Linked DNA regions of Styela clava. The protein of the gene in region 2 interacts with the protein of the main gene of each other region in a pairwise test. Links are inferred from orthologs where the notes say so. Each region holds a gene or a part of one and is shown on either strand. Other genes may lie near its edges.

What was found.
Region 1: the proteins of germinal-center associated nuclear protein-like (region 2) and DNA replication licensing factor MCM3-like interact in a two-hybrid assay, tested with the Homo sapiens proteins (2 studies listed by BioGRID). The link is inferred for Styela clava from reciprocal best matches to the Homo sapiens genes MCM3AP and MCM3.

Annotation. Positions count from the first base shown.
Region 1 is NC_135257.1:13,039,207-13,048,747, reverse strand, and holds DNA replication licensing factor MCM3-like, read left to right. Parts: upstream 1-5,749; 5' UTR 5,750-5,875; coding exon 5,876-8,311; 3' UTR 8,312-8,512; downstream 8,513-9,541. UniProt on the Homo sapiens protein: Acts as a component of the MCM2-7 complex (MCM complex) which is the replicative helicase essential for 'once per cell cycle' DNA replication initiation and elongation in eukaryotic cells.
Region 2 is NC_135260.1:9,574,224-9,584,159, forward strand, and holds the start of germinal-center associated nuclear protein-like, read right to left. Parts: upstream 4,434-9,936; 5' UTR 4,391-4,433; coding exon 2,607-4,390; intron 2,104-2,606; coding exon 1,419-2,103; intron 1,085-1,418; coding exon 870-1,084; intron 1-869.

The DNA.
Region 1 (9,541 bases), on a different chromosome or scaffold from region 2:
GGTGTATATCCACTTGAACCACTGGCGACTGCATTAGCAGGCTTGTATTGTTAATTCCAACAAAAACGGGTATTTTGAAATAGTACTCTTTATTTTACGCGTATGTTTCGACAGTATTTCCATATACTGTATATGGGTCGCTGTATACTGTATAGTTTGTGCACCAAGATTGCGCACAGCCTGAACATAGTATTGTAACAGGTTATGGTTCAGGTTGTGCGTCATTATGATGCACAGGTTTGACAAAAAACACTAATACAAATATCGAGCCGTAAAAAAATTGCTCAAGGCTGCAAACTCCACACCCATGTATAAATGATTTGAAATGAGAAAACTTTATGTCTGAAATAAAACTTGGGCCAAAAAGGGCCCCTTATCTGCCGGACTATAAATAGTGGGTCCAACTCTAAAAACGTAAAAAGTGTTTCGGAATTTTTTCAATCCTTTCATTGCACATATCTTTTTGAATCGATTCTCTAACTAACAATTGACAGTGACTATCCGGTTAGGTAAAGTGTAAACTTACGGGTATTTCCCTTATTCGAATATGAAAAAATATTGACATTCCAAGTAACTGATTCCACGCCAGTCCAGTCCTCACATATCAATTAGGCGGCAGCCCCTGTTCACCGATGCCAACTTACCAATAGATCTTGATAAACTTCAGAGCATCCTTACTAAATAACTGAATCAATAATAGATTCATTCCTGGTCTTGTTTTAGTCAGTGAGAGTCATATTGACAAAGAAGGCTACCCTTTATCAAATCATAATGTCATGTGTTGTATTCTATATGATATTGATGAGGGTAAATTGACATTCACGAATGCAGTGATTTTTAACTCTTTGGGATTTGTGGAATACGTTTTATATATATCATAAAGTGCTCGCGAAACACCGGAATTTCAGACTTCAATTTTTTAAAGACAACTTGTTTCAAGGACCACAATGCCCGTGTTTATGTTGTTTATATATATATCGTTTATAATATACTATTATGCTGATGCCATTTTGCAGGGCCTGAGTACTGTAGTAACATTCGAATTTGTATTATGAGACTCCGATAACCCACGCAATGTGCGAAGGAAAATATGTCTCTCGCTTATTTCGCCGTTCATTGGACTGGGGAATAGCGCATTTTGGTTATGTCTGCTGCTTCGGTTATTTCAAGTGTCGAGTTGCCGTTTGCATGAATAACCAGTCTTGGGTCTCTCTTCCAACAAAGAATGTTTCATGGGATTTGATGACATTCTTGAAATACAATTTATCAATTGTGTATTATTGGCTGCCTGCTTTTTTATATATAGATGCCGGATCCAGAAACGAAAACCATTTTTTGATGTTTTTTATAAATTTATTCGTGATGTTCGTGACAACGAGAAAAATATAGCAATGAAAAATGATCAAATCCTGATACACAAAAGAAAATGGCATTTATTTATATAATAGTCAATAAAGTGATTTTTTGCTATTAAATTACATGTTACTGTTTTTCTTTCCATTTTTGCCGATTGATTGTCCTTATATAGTATATACATAAAATGTGACATTTTCCTGTTTTCTTATAACATTATTAGACTACAATTACAAACATTGTGAAAAATTATCTTTTATAACTATATTGCTGATTTAAAAACTGTTTATTTCAATATTCTATTTGCTAAATGATTGTCCTTGGGATTTTTTCAGTTTTCTTATAACATAATTAGACTGCGATTGCAAACATTGTGATCAATTTTATAACTGTATTACCAATATCGTTTATTTCAATATAAGTTTATTTGCTGAAAAAAAAAAAAACTCTTGGGTCTCTCGATCTAACAACCACAGTTAAAAGACAGAACTGTAGAATTTGTTACCATCAACATGTAACGGTTGATGTCCTCTTCCACTATCGAAATGGTACTGTTATTTCAAATGCCAGAATTGTTGAATTTTGATGCGTTTCCGTTCTAAATATGTAATGTTTTGCATGAAATCTTTGAATTGTTGACTATGTTAAATGAATTTTAGGTGCAGTGTTCAAACATTGTTTTTTTCAAAATTGCGTTACTTTGATACTTTCATATATATTAGCGCAACATATAGGTTCTGAAAAAGACCAAGTTATGTATCGTATAATAGGCTATTTTTCCAAGTCAAGTTAATTAAGTTAATTAAACAGTTCTACTGGGAAAGGGAAGTCGTGGGGACCAAAACTGGTCACCGAGCAGCAAAAACCAAGGTTAAATTTCTAATTGGAATTTAGAATCGGGAACCTACTGTTTTTGACGGTGTTATCCAACTACCGTAACATCGCTCACTAGAGGTGGTTGGTTACTAGAGATTGCAATGAACAGTCAAAAAGTCTACTGCTGAACGGGGAGTTTCCGAATCCAGCCGAAAGAATATTACCCTGTTGTTTATTCCGAATTTTCATGCTGGCCATGAACATTGACAAGAATTCGCATTTGGAAATCATATTTGAATTGCTAAATAATATTGCTAAACATATACCTAACTTCAAATTTCCGACTCGGGGTTATGTTTGGTAGCGAGTAAACTCGTTTGATAGTAAGCGCTAAGCAGTGTTGCATGATAATCGTGTTAATATTTATGTTTAATAATTCATGCTCGAACGCTCTTTATGAGTCTTGCCTGACGCAATGAAGTTATTGTGTATTGTCATAAGGCAAACCACACCCTATATCTCGTGTATGGTAGTGTTAACCAAGTTGTCGTTTTTTATACCTACTTTTGTGCATACTAAGGTAGAGACCAGGATGACAGCCCATTTGAACCCACGTACATATGCACTCGTAAACCCCTAGGACATTTGCACCCACCGACACTTGAACCCATACATTTTCATTCATAGATTTACGCACCAGCGGACATTTGACCCCTGTACATCTGCACTCGCGGAAATTTGCACCCATGTACATTTGCACCCATAAACATTTGCATCCACAAACATTTGCATTCATGTACATTTTCACCCATGACATTTGCACCCTGGACATTTGAAGCCGCGGACATTTGCACTCACGTACATTTGCATCCATGGAAATTTGCACCCACAAATATTTGCACCTATGTAGGCCTACATTTGCACTCGTGAACATTTGCACCCATGAACATTTGCACCCTGAACATTGCAAGAACTGATTAAAATTTGTAAACAGATTATACAATGAGTTGTTTTAATGTTTTATTTGAAGTCGCGGACATTTGCACCCACGTACATTTGCACCCGTGGATATTGGCACCCACAGACATTTGCACTCATGTACATTTGCTCCCACAGACATTTGCACCCATGAACATTTGCACCCATGGATATTTGCACTTATGCACATCTGCATTCACAGTCCGGAAGAATCGGGCCCTAACATTGTTTTGAGACATGAAGTTTTTTTTTTATTGTTTAGAAATAATGTCGATGACATAAATAATGATACCCAGGTGGGTGTGGAGTATATAATGTTGAGCAATTTTTTCTAAGCGGATTTCAAGTATTCGTACCAAGATGACGCACATCCTGAATCCTAGCCTGGTACACATACAATGTTCACGTAAAATCGACAAACGTGTATAATGACAAAAGTAAAAAATGTAATTATACACATAAGAATTCATACAAGTGAGAGATTCATAGCAATAGATAAGGAATCGCGAAAGACTGTGACAGTCATCGAGTCAGCGACACCTGTGGGCTGAAGAGGGAATGACAAAAAAATTATACAAATTTAATCAATCAATATTAACAGAAAAACAAAATCGCAACATATCACCAGAGAAACGACTTCGACTCGACAAAAGCAGGATTTTGCAACAAGTTGTTTACAGCAGTGCCCTTCAACCGGTTATACGGTATACCAAAGTGTATACCGGGCTATAAGTTGGGTATACAACTGATAAAGGGTAAACGAAGGGTGTGCAGCCTAGATCAGGGCGAAGAACCGACCTGAGCACATTGTTACATCACGAATTATATAGATAATGCGGTCACGTGTCTGGGTTGGTGATTTCGGCTGCCATGCACTTCGTTTGATTTATGTTGAACATTATTCCCGTTGACGCTGAGGCCGTCAGTCAAATTTATAACTTGATCAAGAGTGATCATTAAATTAACTGATTTTTATTTAAGTTTCCGAAACACAACTGAAAACTAACGAATAGAGTTCAAAAACACAAAAACGAGATAATGTTTAAGACCACGCTTGAAAATCTGTCTGAGTGAGAAAAGTGTCTGAGCGGATGCGAAAAGGGGGCATTGTTACGTCACTTTTTGCATCTTGCTGATTGGCCAATGTCACGAAGTAAACAAGGAAGTCGATGCTCGGGGAAAGGTCCATTGCATGATGAGATTGCAGTAAAATATGTGCTTGAAATTTTATGTTTATTTAGGCCTTAAATGAAAATTGGTATTTGTAAGGTATACCACATTAAAAAAAATAAAAAAGGTTGAAGAACACTGGTTTAAAGCACTTTCTACTCTTTGAATTGTTGCGTCATAAGGATAAGGATAATATATACATATTTATCACGGGGGAGAGGAAAGCCGATAAGACGGCTTATTCATATGGCGAACCACGGCCTCCCGTTCGGTTACCATTCCAAGTCGGTTATGGGATTAGTTATATTGTTTGTTTTCGGTAGCATGGACTTGGTGGTAGAGGAAGCCGTAACCGACCAGCGGTTACGTGAACCACCCAACGACGGCGAGGAGTCCAGCAATCCTCTCGCACATAACCATCCCTGCATGGGATTCGAACCTGCGAACCCACGCAGAGTAATTAGAGGTGCGGTGGCTAGCATATTCCTAACGCTTAGCCCGTTGAGCCACACCGCCGCGCCGCGTCATAATGGTGTCCACACCGATGCGGGTTGTTTTCCCCGATCTGTGTTAATGGATGAAAATCCAAATTGCGTTCGGGTTTGTGGTGGTGAATTCGTCTTCATCACTATTCATTCGCTATTTCGGCGCAAATGGCAATATAACCTCTTTGTCTTAAAAGTGTGGTATCCAAAGGGTGTATATGTTTACTAGTGCAAAATTAAGTAGGATGAAGCGAATATCCGTGGGTGCAAATGTACGCGAGTGCAGTTGTGCGTGGGTGCAAATGTATTGCGGGTTCAAATGTGCGCAGGTGCAAATGCCCGCGGGTGCAAATCTACCGGATGCAAATGTCCGTGAGTGCAAATGTCCATGTGTGCAAATGTCTGTGGGTGCAGATGTACACTGGTTGAAATGTCCGAGAGTGCAAATGTCCATGGATGCAAATGTTCAAGAGTGCAATCTGTATGCGGGTGCAAATGTATGGGTGCAATTGTTCATGAGTTCGAAAATCTGTGGGTGCAAAAGTATGCAGGTACGTGTAATTGTCCTGGGTGCAAATGTACGTGGGTTCAAAGATAATGAAGGCAGAGACCAGATATAGACGATGTACGATCAGATGATTCATCAAATCTAACCTACCGGTAATATTTTTTATGACATCTAAAGCGTAAATAAATACTAATGCGACTGAAGTGATTCGGTAGGCAGCCTGAGCATCAGGCTGCAAGTGGAAAAATTGAGAAACACCGTCTTAATCAGTATACAATTCATATATAGTAATCAATCATTAATATAATATTTTAATTTTACATCAAAACGAACGCAATTTAGAAACCAACGACTAACATATCGAAACAAGGGAGTCAAGGACCCACCGCTGTCGCTGGTTTGCTGCAATAACACGCATCAGCGATTAGAAGTCCACTTTGTTTCCTTATTCTGAAACCCCGCGAAACATGGACACGTGATCTGATCCTGGAAGTCTTGCAAACTCTTCGTTCGTTTTTGCCGTTTTGTTTCTGCGGGGGTATTTTTTGGATTAAATATAGTCAATATGATGGATGTGGACATTGATGAGGAATTACGGGAAGCTGAACGCCAATATTTGGATTTTCTTGATGATGAAGTCACAGACCAAGGTGTGTATTCTGCGTTGGTTAGAGAAATGATTGAGAAGGGAAGATCCCGAATTGTTGTTAACATAAACGATCTCCGGCGACGAAATAATGTGCGAGCTAAAAAGCTTTTGGATAATGGTTTTGATGAGCATGGTGCTTTTCAACGTGCTCTGAAAAATTATGTTGCTTCCATCAACACTGAATATGCAAAGCAACACGAGGAGTTTTTTGTTGGATTTGAGGGAAGTTTTGGGTCAAAGCATGTAACTCCTCGTACCCTAACAGCATTGTATCTTGGTAGCATGATATGCCTTGAAGGCATTGTTACGAAGTGCTCACTTGTTAGACCAAAAGTTGTTCGTAGTGTTCATTATTGCCCCGCTACTAAGAAGACTTTAGAAAGAAGATACACTGATATGACCTCTACAACACCTTTTGTATCAAGTTCTGTGTACCCAACTAAAGACGAAGAAAATAATCCATTAGAAACCGAGTTTGGATTATCAGTTTACAAAGATCACCAGACCTTGACTGTGCAAGAGATGCCTGAAAAAGCTCCAGCGGGACAACTTCCTCGATCGGTGGATATTGTTGTTGACAATGATTTAGTTGATCTCTGTAAGCCTGGTGATCGTGTCCAAGTCCTTGGAATATTTAGATGTCTACCTGGTAAAAAACAAGGCCATACTTCTGGTGTTTTCAGAACTATCTTGATTGCAAATCATGTAAAACCTCTTAGCAAAGAGGTTATACCAATGTTCTCAACCGATGACGTTGTTAAAATAAGGAAATTTGCAAACCAAAAAGGTGCTGACCCATTTGAAATTCTTGCCCATTCTTTAGCTCCCTCTATTCATGGCAATGAATATATCAAAAAAGCTGTGCTCTGTATGTTACTTGGCGGTACAGAAAAGATTTTGCCAAATGGAACAAGACTTCGTGGTGATATAAATGTTTTGCTGATAGGTGATCCAAGCACAGCCAAATCACAAATGTTGAGATATATTTTGCATACAGCACCACGAGCTATAACAACTACTGGTCGAGGAACAACTGGTGTTGGATTAACTGCTGCAGTGACTTCAGATGAAGAAACTGGAGAACGCAGACTTGAAGCTGGTGCTATGGTATTAGCTGATCGTGGAGTTGTATGTATTGATGAATTCGATAAAATGAGTGACATAGATCGTACCGCAATTCATGAAGTAATGGAACAAGGAAGAGTCACTGTGGCAAAAGCTGGCATTCATGCAAAGTTAAATGCTCGATGTAGCGTGTTAGCTGCAGCGAATCCTGTTTATGGTAGATATGACCAGTATAAGACTCCTATGGATAACATTGGAATGCAGGATTCTTTATTGTCTAGATTTGACTTGCTTTTTATCGTTCTTGATCAAATGGACCCAGAAAATGATCAAAGAATATCAGATCATGTGCTTAGAATGCATCAATATCGTGCAACAAATGAACAAGATGGCGACCCAATGCCAATATCGATTGGTGCAGATATTTTGTCCACAGATGATCCAGACTGCGAACAGAACAAAGATCAAGAAACGCCAGTATATGAAAAACATAATAAATTGCTGCATCGTGGATCTGGCAAAAAATCTAAAATGGTGAGTATTGCCTTTATGAAGAGATATGTTCATGTGGCAAAAATTATAAAGCCTACTTTGACAAGAGAGGCTGCGGAATGTATTGCAGAAGAATACACCAAACTCAGATGTCAAGATCAAGAGAATAGTGATGTAGCCAGAACCACACCAGTCACTGCTCGTACTCTTGAAACTTTAATTCGTCTTTCAACTGCGCATGCCAAAGCACGTTTGTCCAAGAAAGTAACTTTGAAAGATGCTCATTCTGCTATTGAGCTTGTGCAATATGCTTATTTTCATAAAGTGATGGAAAAAGAAAAGAAGAGGCGAAGAAAGACTCACGATAGCGACAGTGAAGATGAAGTCATTGAAAGTCAAAATACCTCAGTCCGCAAGAGGAGAAAGCGTGGGGATGGGAATGAAACCACTGGAGATCCAAATGACCCATATAATTTTGATTCGGCCGAAGAAGACACACCTGATGTCAGTGCTGTGGGTCGTCCTTCGCAACAACAGTCAACTGTTGATGTTTCAATGGAAGACAGTGAGCGTTCCACAACTGCTATTGATGAACAGAAGATGAATAAATTCAAGAAGTCACTTTTTGCCAAATTTGAAGTTGAACACACACAAAGCCTGCCCACAGCTGCCATTGTTGAATGGGTCAACAAGGATAGTCAGGAGTTTTCCAAGGACGATGTTGACACCTGTCTTTCACAAATGCAAGACAGCAATCAAGTGATGTATACGGATGACACTGTATTCCTCATTTAAAATCCAGGAGAATACATTCAATTTCCAGAATGTGTACATCAATGAACATATTGAACCTCAGAAACAAGAGACAATTTACCATTTCTTTTTACTTTATATGCCATCATGTTTGCTTTCTGCTGTTGAATTTGTTATCCATAGCTCTTTCGTAAATGTTCCAAATGTAAATCTGTACAGATAGTTTTGTTATTGTGAAACTTATACGCAGTGCTTGATTGGTTCCATTATGAGATTAGTTCAGCAAATGAGCAGGCAAGAAAAAAAATTAGTTTTTTGCAATGTCCTCCACGCTGTTGTAGGTTTTTACCCAAGATTCTATAACATGTTGCATAATGCTAGATTACTTAATAGCAGTCAGTGTCAGGCAACCACTTTCATCAAGGCGTACTACAGGCAAGTCCACTGGTCTTGTCCATCTGTATGCCATTAGATGAAGTGCATTGTAGCAAATTACAAATTCTCGACTTGTCAGAAACTTGTTTGCTAGTTCTATAACTGGGATTTGGGCCCAATGGGAATGCGCTGATACTCAGCCTATACTTGCGATTGGTGCCAGCCAAGATATTTGTTCACCAAAGACGTTTGTCTAATAATTCGTAAGGCCAGTGTTACGTAACAGTTGGCATTTGAAAGATTAATCGTGAATTAATAAAAATGTCCCACAAATAATTACCTCAGTATATATGTTCCGCCATTTTATTAAAGTAATGCAGCATGAAAAGTACACAAAAACCGCACGAATGAATATAGCAATAAAATCAATTAGATACAGATGTCAGTCAATATCATTCCATAAGCACATAATGCTAACATTTGCAGTTCAGGCAAAAAAATCCAAGCCCCACTTCTGATCTTAAAAAGGCAAAACCTACTAAAATCTGAATAATGTCATGACATACTGCAAAATATTAAGTGAAACAGTATATAGATAGCAATTAATTCACTATAAGCATATTAACTACAAATAGAATAAGAGTTGAAACATCATACTAAATATCAAAGTAAAACTAAATAAGCACAAGGGCATATAACATAGTCTTAAATACAATTTGAGACACGTTTCTATTATTATATGCAGAATTCTATATAGTTCACAGCTGATAGTTCTCATGGATTTGGTACTATTTGCTGTACAGGTTTATAATTTCATTATGCTTGTGTTGTACTGATATACGAAACAGGGAAACAGAACTTGAAACAAAGGGGAGCACAACTCTAATTAAAACAACG
Region 2 (9,936 bases):
CTACAATGAAAATGACCGGTGCGATAATATCCTAAGTTTGGATTCTTTTATATACTAACCAATACCAACTGAAGTACTACATTGAACAATATCATGTATACTGAAAGAAATTGTATAGACCTCATATTCATTTTAATAATATTAAAATTTTGCAGCATCCGGTTTTAAAACAGATGCAATTTATAATCAAATCCATATCTTTCGAATAACCTTCTAACTTGTGAGATACCGCATTTGATGCTCCAACGATAACAACCGGTAAATTTTTAGTCCATGCATTCCAAATTTATTTTTCAAATCTCCCTTTATAACGTCTGATATTTTTCAATTATTTCTTCCAACAAGAGAGCTACGCCCAAATATATGGACACGTCTGTTCGCAGTACAGTACGGTTTACCGTACCGTCAGATCACAGTCTACAAATATATTCACACCAAGCGAAGCAGTACAGTAGGACACAAATTTGCGTCCAATGTCCGCAGAACGTTTAATGACGTCATAGCAAACAAAAACAAATCTCACAGAGCTAACAGAAATATTTAAAATGAATAAAAGTAATAGCCTTCTGAGGAAAAATTTTATCTTCAACCACTGAAAATTTCAAAGCAATTGGTCCAGTATTCGAAGAGAAAAACGATTTTTTTAAAAATGATGGAGACAAATAACAATAACAACAAAATTTTGAAACGTTCGTTATGTCCACTACGTGTCCAATGAAATACGAAAATTGGCCTGCAATATCGATTATGAAGCACATGTTTTCGGATAAATTTATGCACAGCTACTATCTCTGTCTTTAGAATATTGCCCATTTGACATATACCACACACAATTAAGATGAGTCAATTCAAAAAAACTATTCACCAACCTGTTTAATAACAACATATTGTTGGCGTCAATTTCTATTCCAAAATGTTGACAAAAGATGCCAACTTCCTTCATATCATTGAAACTAAGAATTTTCATAAAATCATCAGCAGGGAAAAGAACAGTCCTTTTATTAGATTGTACGACAAATGCTTTACATATTGTCGAAGCAGCTTGTTTTCGGACTTGCATGAAGTATCGATGAAGAATGCAGCCCTGAAAAATGTACAAGTATTAGAAATATACTACAATATTTTTTATTTCTATTGTAAAAAATGAAGGTTATTTACTTATTTTTTCCACATTGTTTTGATTCTATTCATGTAAATCTTCTTTATAAATGAAGGTAGACTTGGAATGTCCGAATCTACAGGTAATCCAATATTTTATAGTCAAAATTAACTGTAATTCATTAGTGGTGCAATAGTTATTTTATTAGGTGTATGTTTTTTTCTCAAGCCAATATGCATGACCATACCAAATTGAAAATTTATCATAACATGGAAAAGATTCAGCTAAAATCCTGAGGCGAAAAACTTTACTGACTAACCTGCATAAAAGTAGCTCGTCTGACAACTTTGAAAAATTTGGCGTAATTGTTGCTGTGCACTGCCATAAATGCTTGTACGGCAAATCCAACATCTGACGAATACCTCACTTCAGGAGGTAGTTCCTGTAACTCATTCAGTACATCTGCTGTTTTGTTGATATTTAGTAAGATATAATATCCATACATTTCTGCTACATTTGAATTATCCAATGGTACTGCAGCTTGACCTTGAGCAGGCGAGAAATATACATCGTGATAAAGATCCATGATAGTTTTCATTGTCTTTTCTAAATTTTCGTTATTTATTTTCGGATCAAATACCATTCTATCTTCTTCACACAAATGATGAGCACAAAAAATGTGAAACCGCGCACATTCCTCGTTGATGTGTACTGCAGTTACATCACTGAATTGTTGTATTGTAAGTTCTTTTCTTATAGCCCGAGTGCGATTCCAAACAAAGTCGAACCAGTCTGCGACCTGCCCTTCATTTAATTTTGGCATCATGTTCAAAAGAATATAATGCATTGTCATTTGCAGAACACTCGCAGGTCGTAGTTCATGAGGTAAAGGTTCTTCCTGGTCTGCAGAAGATCGACTGTATTCTTTGACAGCTTTGTAATGACATACTAGTCCACCTTCCATTTCATAAGCAGACAGAAGTTTTCTCTGTTGTCTCAAGTACCTAAAAAAGTATGATATGGCAATAACTGTCTCCAAATTTTGTGGGCGTACTGGCCTTGTGATTAAAGTGTTAGATGGCATAGCAGGTTAAAACCTTGGGTTCAAATCCCATTTCAACCACCTCACCCAGCTAGATACGCATGAACGCATAAAAAAAAATTGTTAAAAGAATCATTGAGCTTGCGGCTTAGGCACTTTACTTAATGATAATTCAATGAACAAATATTACACCATTATTGTCTATTCATAAGCATCACGCAGAGAAAAAATTCAAAATTTTATAAGATACTGTTTTGTTCTATCCAGATAACGTTAAGCACCCTAATAAACGATGATGATTTTCAAATTATCGCAACATTTTGTCCTGCATCTCTGATTCAAATATTGAGGTAATTTATTTCGTTTTGAGTTAAAGTATATTATGATGAGTGAATAGTTTTTATGCAATCCCATTTGTAAATAAATCTTGCATTAATAAACAATACATTTAAATTTCTGACATACCTTTCCTTTTCTGGGCACATGTCCGGGCAAGTTCCTATGCTTGTCTTTGCTTTTTTGATGTCTGATTGTCGAACAACCTTTTTCCTGAGCAAATTATCAATCTTCTCCAATATCCCAAGTTTTTCTTCATCAGTATTAGCAAAAATCTGAGCAAACACTCGATTTTTTGGTGGAAATCGAGCAGAGTTTCCTTGTTGAGTTGCTACTCTTGCGAGTGTTTTGTGACCACTTTGATAAGTAACTTTCAAGTTTTGAGATTCACTTAACTGCGTAGGAGATTTGTCTACAGATTTTCTTGCTCTTTTCGAAAAGAATATTTTCATTGGAGAATCTGATTGTTGGACATGAGCCCCTTCAGTTTTAGCTGCAGCAGCCTCTTCGTGAGTTTTGAATACTACAGTTGCAGTGTTTTTTTCTGCATTAATATTAATACGAAGGATTTGACCAAATTTTTCAAAATGATTCCTGAGCAGATCTCTGTTATCAATTAAATCAGGGGGAACGTTGTGGCAAATGATAGCGCTAGACTGTAATGCTGCGCTCTGATCTATAAGGTTAGAGGATGATGATGATCGCCTTGCTCGAGCTCTACTAAATTGAGGTTGTGCAATTGCTCTTCCACTTAGGTTATCTTGCCTCGTTATGTCTGGTTCATCACCTCTTTGTTTTGCCAGTTTTTTCTTATATCCAACAAGCATTTGATGAAATGCCGGGTTCTGCGATATCTGCATTGTACGTTTTTTTCTTGACGCCTCTACAACTTCAACATGGCTTTCTGGACTGGATTTAAGTGATTCTTGTGTGGTGTCTTGATCATAGGAACGCTTTCTTTGTATATTTCCTTGCAAATAGGAAGCTGTAGGCGCTTCTCCAAATCTTGCACGTCCATATGTTTTCTTGATCTGAGGTTTTGAAATACCAGTATTACTTGTTTCCGCTGTATTTCCAACCTCTTCAATGTGTGATCTTCTTTTTCCATAAATTGATGGTTGCACTGGGAGTCGACCAATAACTGACTGTCGTGGATTCGCTTGGAGCTTGTTATCAGAAAGTGACTGCGATGTCCCAAATATACCTGTAGAATGCGATTTTTCAGCTGTTGTTTGGGAGTCGCTCAAAAATGAAGACGGTTTTGAAATAGTGCCGAAGATATTGGAACTTCCTAATGATGACGTTTGTGTACGATTAGATCCGAACAGAGAAGATGCAGTGTTGTTAGTCTTATTTTGTTGGAAAAGGGTAAAAGAGTGTGATGTGGTCGCCACTGTTTGCTCTTGACTGGTATGTGTATGACTGAATGAAGAGCCAGATTTACCAAAAACTGAAGAAGTTGATTTCACATCTCCAAATAAAGAGGAAACAGAAGGATCTCGTTTTTCAGTGACGGCAGCTTGCTGGAACGGTTTTTCACTATCATTCGTAGTTCCAAATTGGCCAAATACAGACCCGACGCTTGTTTGTTGTCGGGGTGAGGTCCCAAATAAAGAAGGAGTGTTTCCAACCACATTTCCTTGACTGCTCTGCACACCAAAATTGCTTCCAAATGTAGATGAACTACTTGTATTGCTTAATCTTCCACTTTGCTCTGTGCTGAACAGAGAACTTGATTGAAGACTACCTAAACCAGTAGATGTACCAGCATTGGATGATTCCCCACTTTGTTTAAAAGCACCAAATACACTAGGCTGTGTTGGTGCTAATGGTGAAGAAAATAAACCAGATCCTGGAGGTACAGGAGGAATATCTTGCACCTGATTCTTGTTCATCCAATTGCCAAATGACATTTTTACTAATTTAATAATTCAATAAGCATAATAGCTGTCTGAAAAAAAATAACCATAAATGCACATAAAAATGTGAAAAAACATTTAGTATTTTATCAATGACAAGCATTATTATCTTGTATGACAAGATCTCTGTCAATATTCCAATGACAATTTATTTTGAAGACTCCCTTTTATACAAATAAAAATAGAGACTCTAGTTGAGTAGGCAAAACCTCAAATGAAGCTTATATTATGAAAAATTTTGGTACTCAAGCATCACCCAACAACATTTAATAAAGGCAAGCATACATATGAAAGATAGCAATAGAAAAAAAAAATGAATATCTACAAGTTACACTTGTACTTCTTTAATAATGTCATGGATAACAATCAAATTACTCAAGTTGATTCAAAGTTTTTGCAATGTGTAGTATGTGAATTTCTTGCCCTGCTTATGAATTCTAATCAAATTTTTTTTTCTAAAAGATGGAATGCCAACAGCTTCAACTGAATATTCTAAGCTTTTAAAACAAGCTTGTTAAGAAAATGTGACATAATACATTAGTCATATAAGTAATAGCCCAACAACCCACATTATAAAAGCATATCCAAGAAAAAGAAAACGTTATGAAAAAAAAAGCATTCAAGATAGTGACTAAAATCTGAAATTATTCCACAATCTATGTTTCAATAAAATAGTAAACATTATTAACACAGATAAAGACTAATCTCCTTAAACCACAATATATCTAAAAAAAATGATTTTTCAACAATAAATTTTATCATAGTATAAATTTCATCATGTCAACAAAAACACAGGTGCAAAATCAAATCTAAAAGTAACCGCTATACAAACAGCATAATAAGAAATTCAAAAATAGGACATAAGCTTCTGAATAACGTAATAATAGGAGAATATTGTCAAATATCATAGTTATACACAGTTGACATGGCACATATTATAGCTATAGCTTGACTATAAAAATATGGTGAACGGCGTTCTAAAACTGACATATTCATTCATTGCACACATATTTCACAACTTTAAAAGTTGTTTAATCAAAGTTGAAATACAATATTCAACTGTATTATCTATTCGAATGACTACATCTATAGGTGTATTGCAAAGAAATATGATTCAAAAAAGTTGAATGCAAGACTGCAAATTAAAACACATACCGAATGATTAAACCCTTTCAGTACAAAGACAATATTCTAAACCAGTCGTTCTCAACTTCCACTTTGATAATCTAAATTACCACTCAGTAGGGAAAAACAGCATCATCATTCATTGCTGCACCAATCAAAATTACCGGTAATTGATTATCTATCAATAAGCAATTTTTAATAAGTTTGTGTCCCATTTGAAAATGTTGAGGACCGGCGGTCTAAACTCATACAAACCGACAATTTTTATCATATTCCCCTCGTGGAAGAAACAAGAATGTTCATAAGATTATGGCACGATATTCTAAAATCCCCGACTTCAAGTTCTAAATGAATGTTCTCACTTTCCAGCGAAAATAACAAAACGGAGTAACTCTAAAAACAGAACCTATAAATTTCTAAATTACTTCTACAAAAATTTGTTCAACACTTCTGTTTTTAAAAATTATTGTAACCAAAGGACACGTAACACGTTGCACAAATGGTAATGTAACTCTAGAACAGTAGTTCTCAAACAATAGGGCGTGCCTATTAAGGGGGGCATACCGGTAGACAATTTTTTGAGGAGGCGTGAAGCTAATTAACAATAAAAATATTTGTTAGATTTGATCTTGCCCACCTTTTTGGGTATTTACATTTCATTATTTACGTTCCATCCACATATTTCTAACGTTTTTTTTGAATAAAACATACTTTCGCCTTGCTATCTGTTGTTTGTAGCTTATGGATAGATAGTTATTTTTATGGTGGAGTGCGAGACAAATTCTAAAAAGGGGGCGCGGCTTAAAATATTTGAGAACCACTGCTTTATAATATATTCCAAACTGCCGTGGTTTTTACCTTGTGTATGCTAAATCTGACTTATAAAATTGAGCTTTTATTGTGTAATCACACATTCTAATAAACAGGGATTTTGATTCGAAGCATCCCCAAAATATATCTCCTGTAAACCATTGTAGAATGGGTTCATTCAATCAGTCAATATCACAGTATACCACAACAGTATCTGGTAGCTTATCCTGGTCTATGTCATCACCAACAGACAATTTAGGTTTTGACTTCAAATCATGTGCAGCAGAGTTGATGAGTGTTTCGGATTCTAGATCTTTCTTTTTCTTAGTATTTGTTTTGAAAACTTCAGATCTGTTATCCATGTCTGAATGTGAGTGAGTACTAAATCCAAATATTTTTGTGCCATCAATATTAGTGGTGATGGAGCCTCTACATTTTAATGCTTTTCTTCTTGAACATTCCCACCGTATCGTAGAAAGTTTACCACATTTCTTAGTGTAAGTATAACCACGTACTAACAATTTTATACCACCTTTGCCACTTGCAATAGATTCAATTTTAGAGTCAGTAAAAATTGATTGTGCAATAACAGGGCAAGACATAAAGCCACTATGGCCAGATAAAGTGTGTGGATGGCAGTGGGCATAACAACTTAAAACTCTTCTGCATTCAATATCAGTTGATATAGATCCTTTACATTGTGAGTTTTTTCGCAGAGCGCATGACCAATGTAATATCCCTTTGATTAAACTGCTTTTCGAATAACTATAACCATCATGTGATAAAATACTATCGCCATTATCGTCATCAAAAAGATTTAATGAGGATTCACAAACAACACATTCGGAGTGAAAAGTAATATCAGCATTGGCAAGTGATATTTGAACTTTTTTTGGTGGACTGTTCAGTACCTTATTCAAACACTTAGTGATTATTTTATTTCCATTTGTTGAATTGGAAGACTTTTCTAGCATTACATCTGAGCTGTCTTCATCAGTTTTTAAAGTGGTATTAGATTTAGGTGATAAATCTATGCGGCAAGTTTTTGATTTTTTGAATTTTGAAGTGTTTCTTTCAATTTCATCAACCAAATCCTTTAAAGTATCTTTCTCTTTACTACTATTAACCTTTCGTTTACGTTTTTGTGTTACTTTTTCAGATGATGTTGGAATAATATCATCATAAATATGCTCTGTTGGAGGATGTGTATGAACATTGAAAGAGAGTATCGATTGTCCTTTTATATTTGTATTCACAGTTCCATTACATGAAAAACCTCTTCTACCAGAACATTCCCAACGTATATAATTAGTTTTTGCACATTTCTTGGTGTATGTATATCCAGCGAATACTAATTTTTGTCCGCCCTGTCTCGTTTTTGCAAATTTTATCTCTGCATCATACATATAAGAAAACGATGCCACTGGGCATGATTTTGTGGTAATTGATGATATTCTTTCATGACAATGGGTACTACCACCCCTGACTTTTGTATGTGCTACATTCGTTAATAGAGCGCCTTTGCAATTAAATACAGTTTGAACTTGGCATACCCAGTGTACGTTATCTCCTTTCACAAAAAGTTTTGTGTATAAATAACCATCATATGTTAATATGGTGTCTCCATCTTTCTCTGTCAGTTTTATTGCATTTTCACATAAGTGACATATAGTATGGAAATCGGACTTTGTGTGTACCATTTTCGAGTGAGTTGTCTTAATTTCCTCCCTTTTATTCTTATCCGTAGTTTTTACATTTTTTAGCTTGATTCGGAGAGGAGTAGAAGACCGGGTTGGCTTCAATTCAACTTTTTGGTTGCCATCGGAAATCAAAAAATTTTGCTGCTCATGTGAAGAACCTTTATCATAATTTTCCTCTTTACCAACTGTTTTACATAATTCCCCACTACTGCAGTCATTTATTGAAATATCACTATTAGAAGAAATCGAAGTCTCAACAGTATTGTCTTTAGACAGAATTTTTTGTCCTTCTGATAATTTTTCTTGCTCAATATGATCAGGAGTTTCCATGTCCATAATATTGTCAATGTCATCAGATACCTCTTTCATAGTTGAACCAGAATGGGTGCCATGATCTTTATTTTCATTATTATTAGTAAGATCAGATGACAGAATTTCGAGATGTTTTCCGTTAGACTCATTCGAAGAATCTTCTGCTTTTCTTTTACTTTTATGATTGATATTCATATTCAAAGGACTGGGAAATGTAACAAGATTATGTGGCTCTGTCATTGGCAATGGCTTTGTAGAAGACTCCGATTGAGCTGTTGCTGAAGTGTCAGAAGATGTTTGAGATGAACTATCAAAGCCCAGATTGCAATTTTGTGTAGACATTGATGAAATTTGTTGTGCACTAAGAGTAGATTCTGAGTGAATTTTCGTAGTGAGAAGAAAACTTTGAGATTGCAGAAAAACCATGCCAAGCTATTTTATTCCAGACATTATTATTACTACATTATTCACACTACACTATTTAGACCAAAAGTAATTTATATTTTTATTCAGCTCATGGATGAATAAGCAAGTATTGCAGAAATAACTCTCAAAAATACCACTAAACTGTTAAGTTTGTATCTGAGGCTTCAGAGCAAGGATAAATTGTGTGGGGAATTAGTCTAAGAAGTTTGCGGTAGGAAAACTCGTCGCAGAAATTTCGCCTAATCAGGAAAATCGCTGGAAGAGCATTTTGTGAAAAAAAAGGGTCTGTGATAAAAACAATTAATAACAACTTTTTGTTTCATATAAACATTAGGGTTAGGATTACGATTCTTTCTTTATGTTCTTAATTATTATTACCGTACATCCATGTATGCTCTTAAATAACGATTTTTTTTTATAAATAAAAAGGTACTTCAAAAACCTGTTTTATCACAAATACTTGTTTTACAGCAAAATGCTCTTGCGGCGATTTTTCCCATTAGGCGAAATTTCCTTCGGCGACATTTCCTAGGGCAAACTTATTTACGGCGAATTTTCCTAGAACCAGGATAAATATACCATCTCATAGATGCTTGAAAAAGTTAGCCTCAGGAAACTGAGCCCTATAAACAAAACACTATGCAAGAATGCTTAGCAGGTGCAACTTAACAATGCAGGCACCCAATTCTGTCCAATACAAGAGTAATTTAACACACCAATATAAAAGATAGGTTAACCGAATCTAATAAAATAGAAAACTTATGATTAGATAGAGGCAGTTGTTTGAATAAATCAATAAAGTTTTGTACGCAATGGCATATAATGAAAAAAAAAAGAATGTAAGTGGTTGAAAAAGTGTAATAGAGAGTGTTACCAAATGAATAATATACCTCCAGACATGAATTCACAATTAATCATTCATTCCAAGGCATACTTTAAAAAATTAATGGCTCATAATAATGAAAAATATCAAATGAATCAGATAATGACAGAAAAAAATTCAAAATTCATAAGATGAAAGTTGAAAAATAGCAGCATGACTTAAAGAAGATCATAAGTTTTACGTACTACATCAGAAAGTTAATACTAAATAGAAATTCAAAATATTGCAGCTATAGTTATAGCACATGAGCTCTCAATTTTAACAATAGTTAAAATGTTTCATAT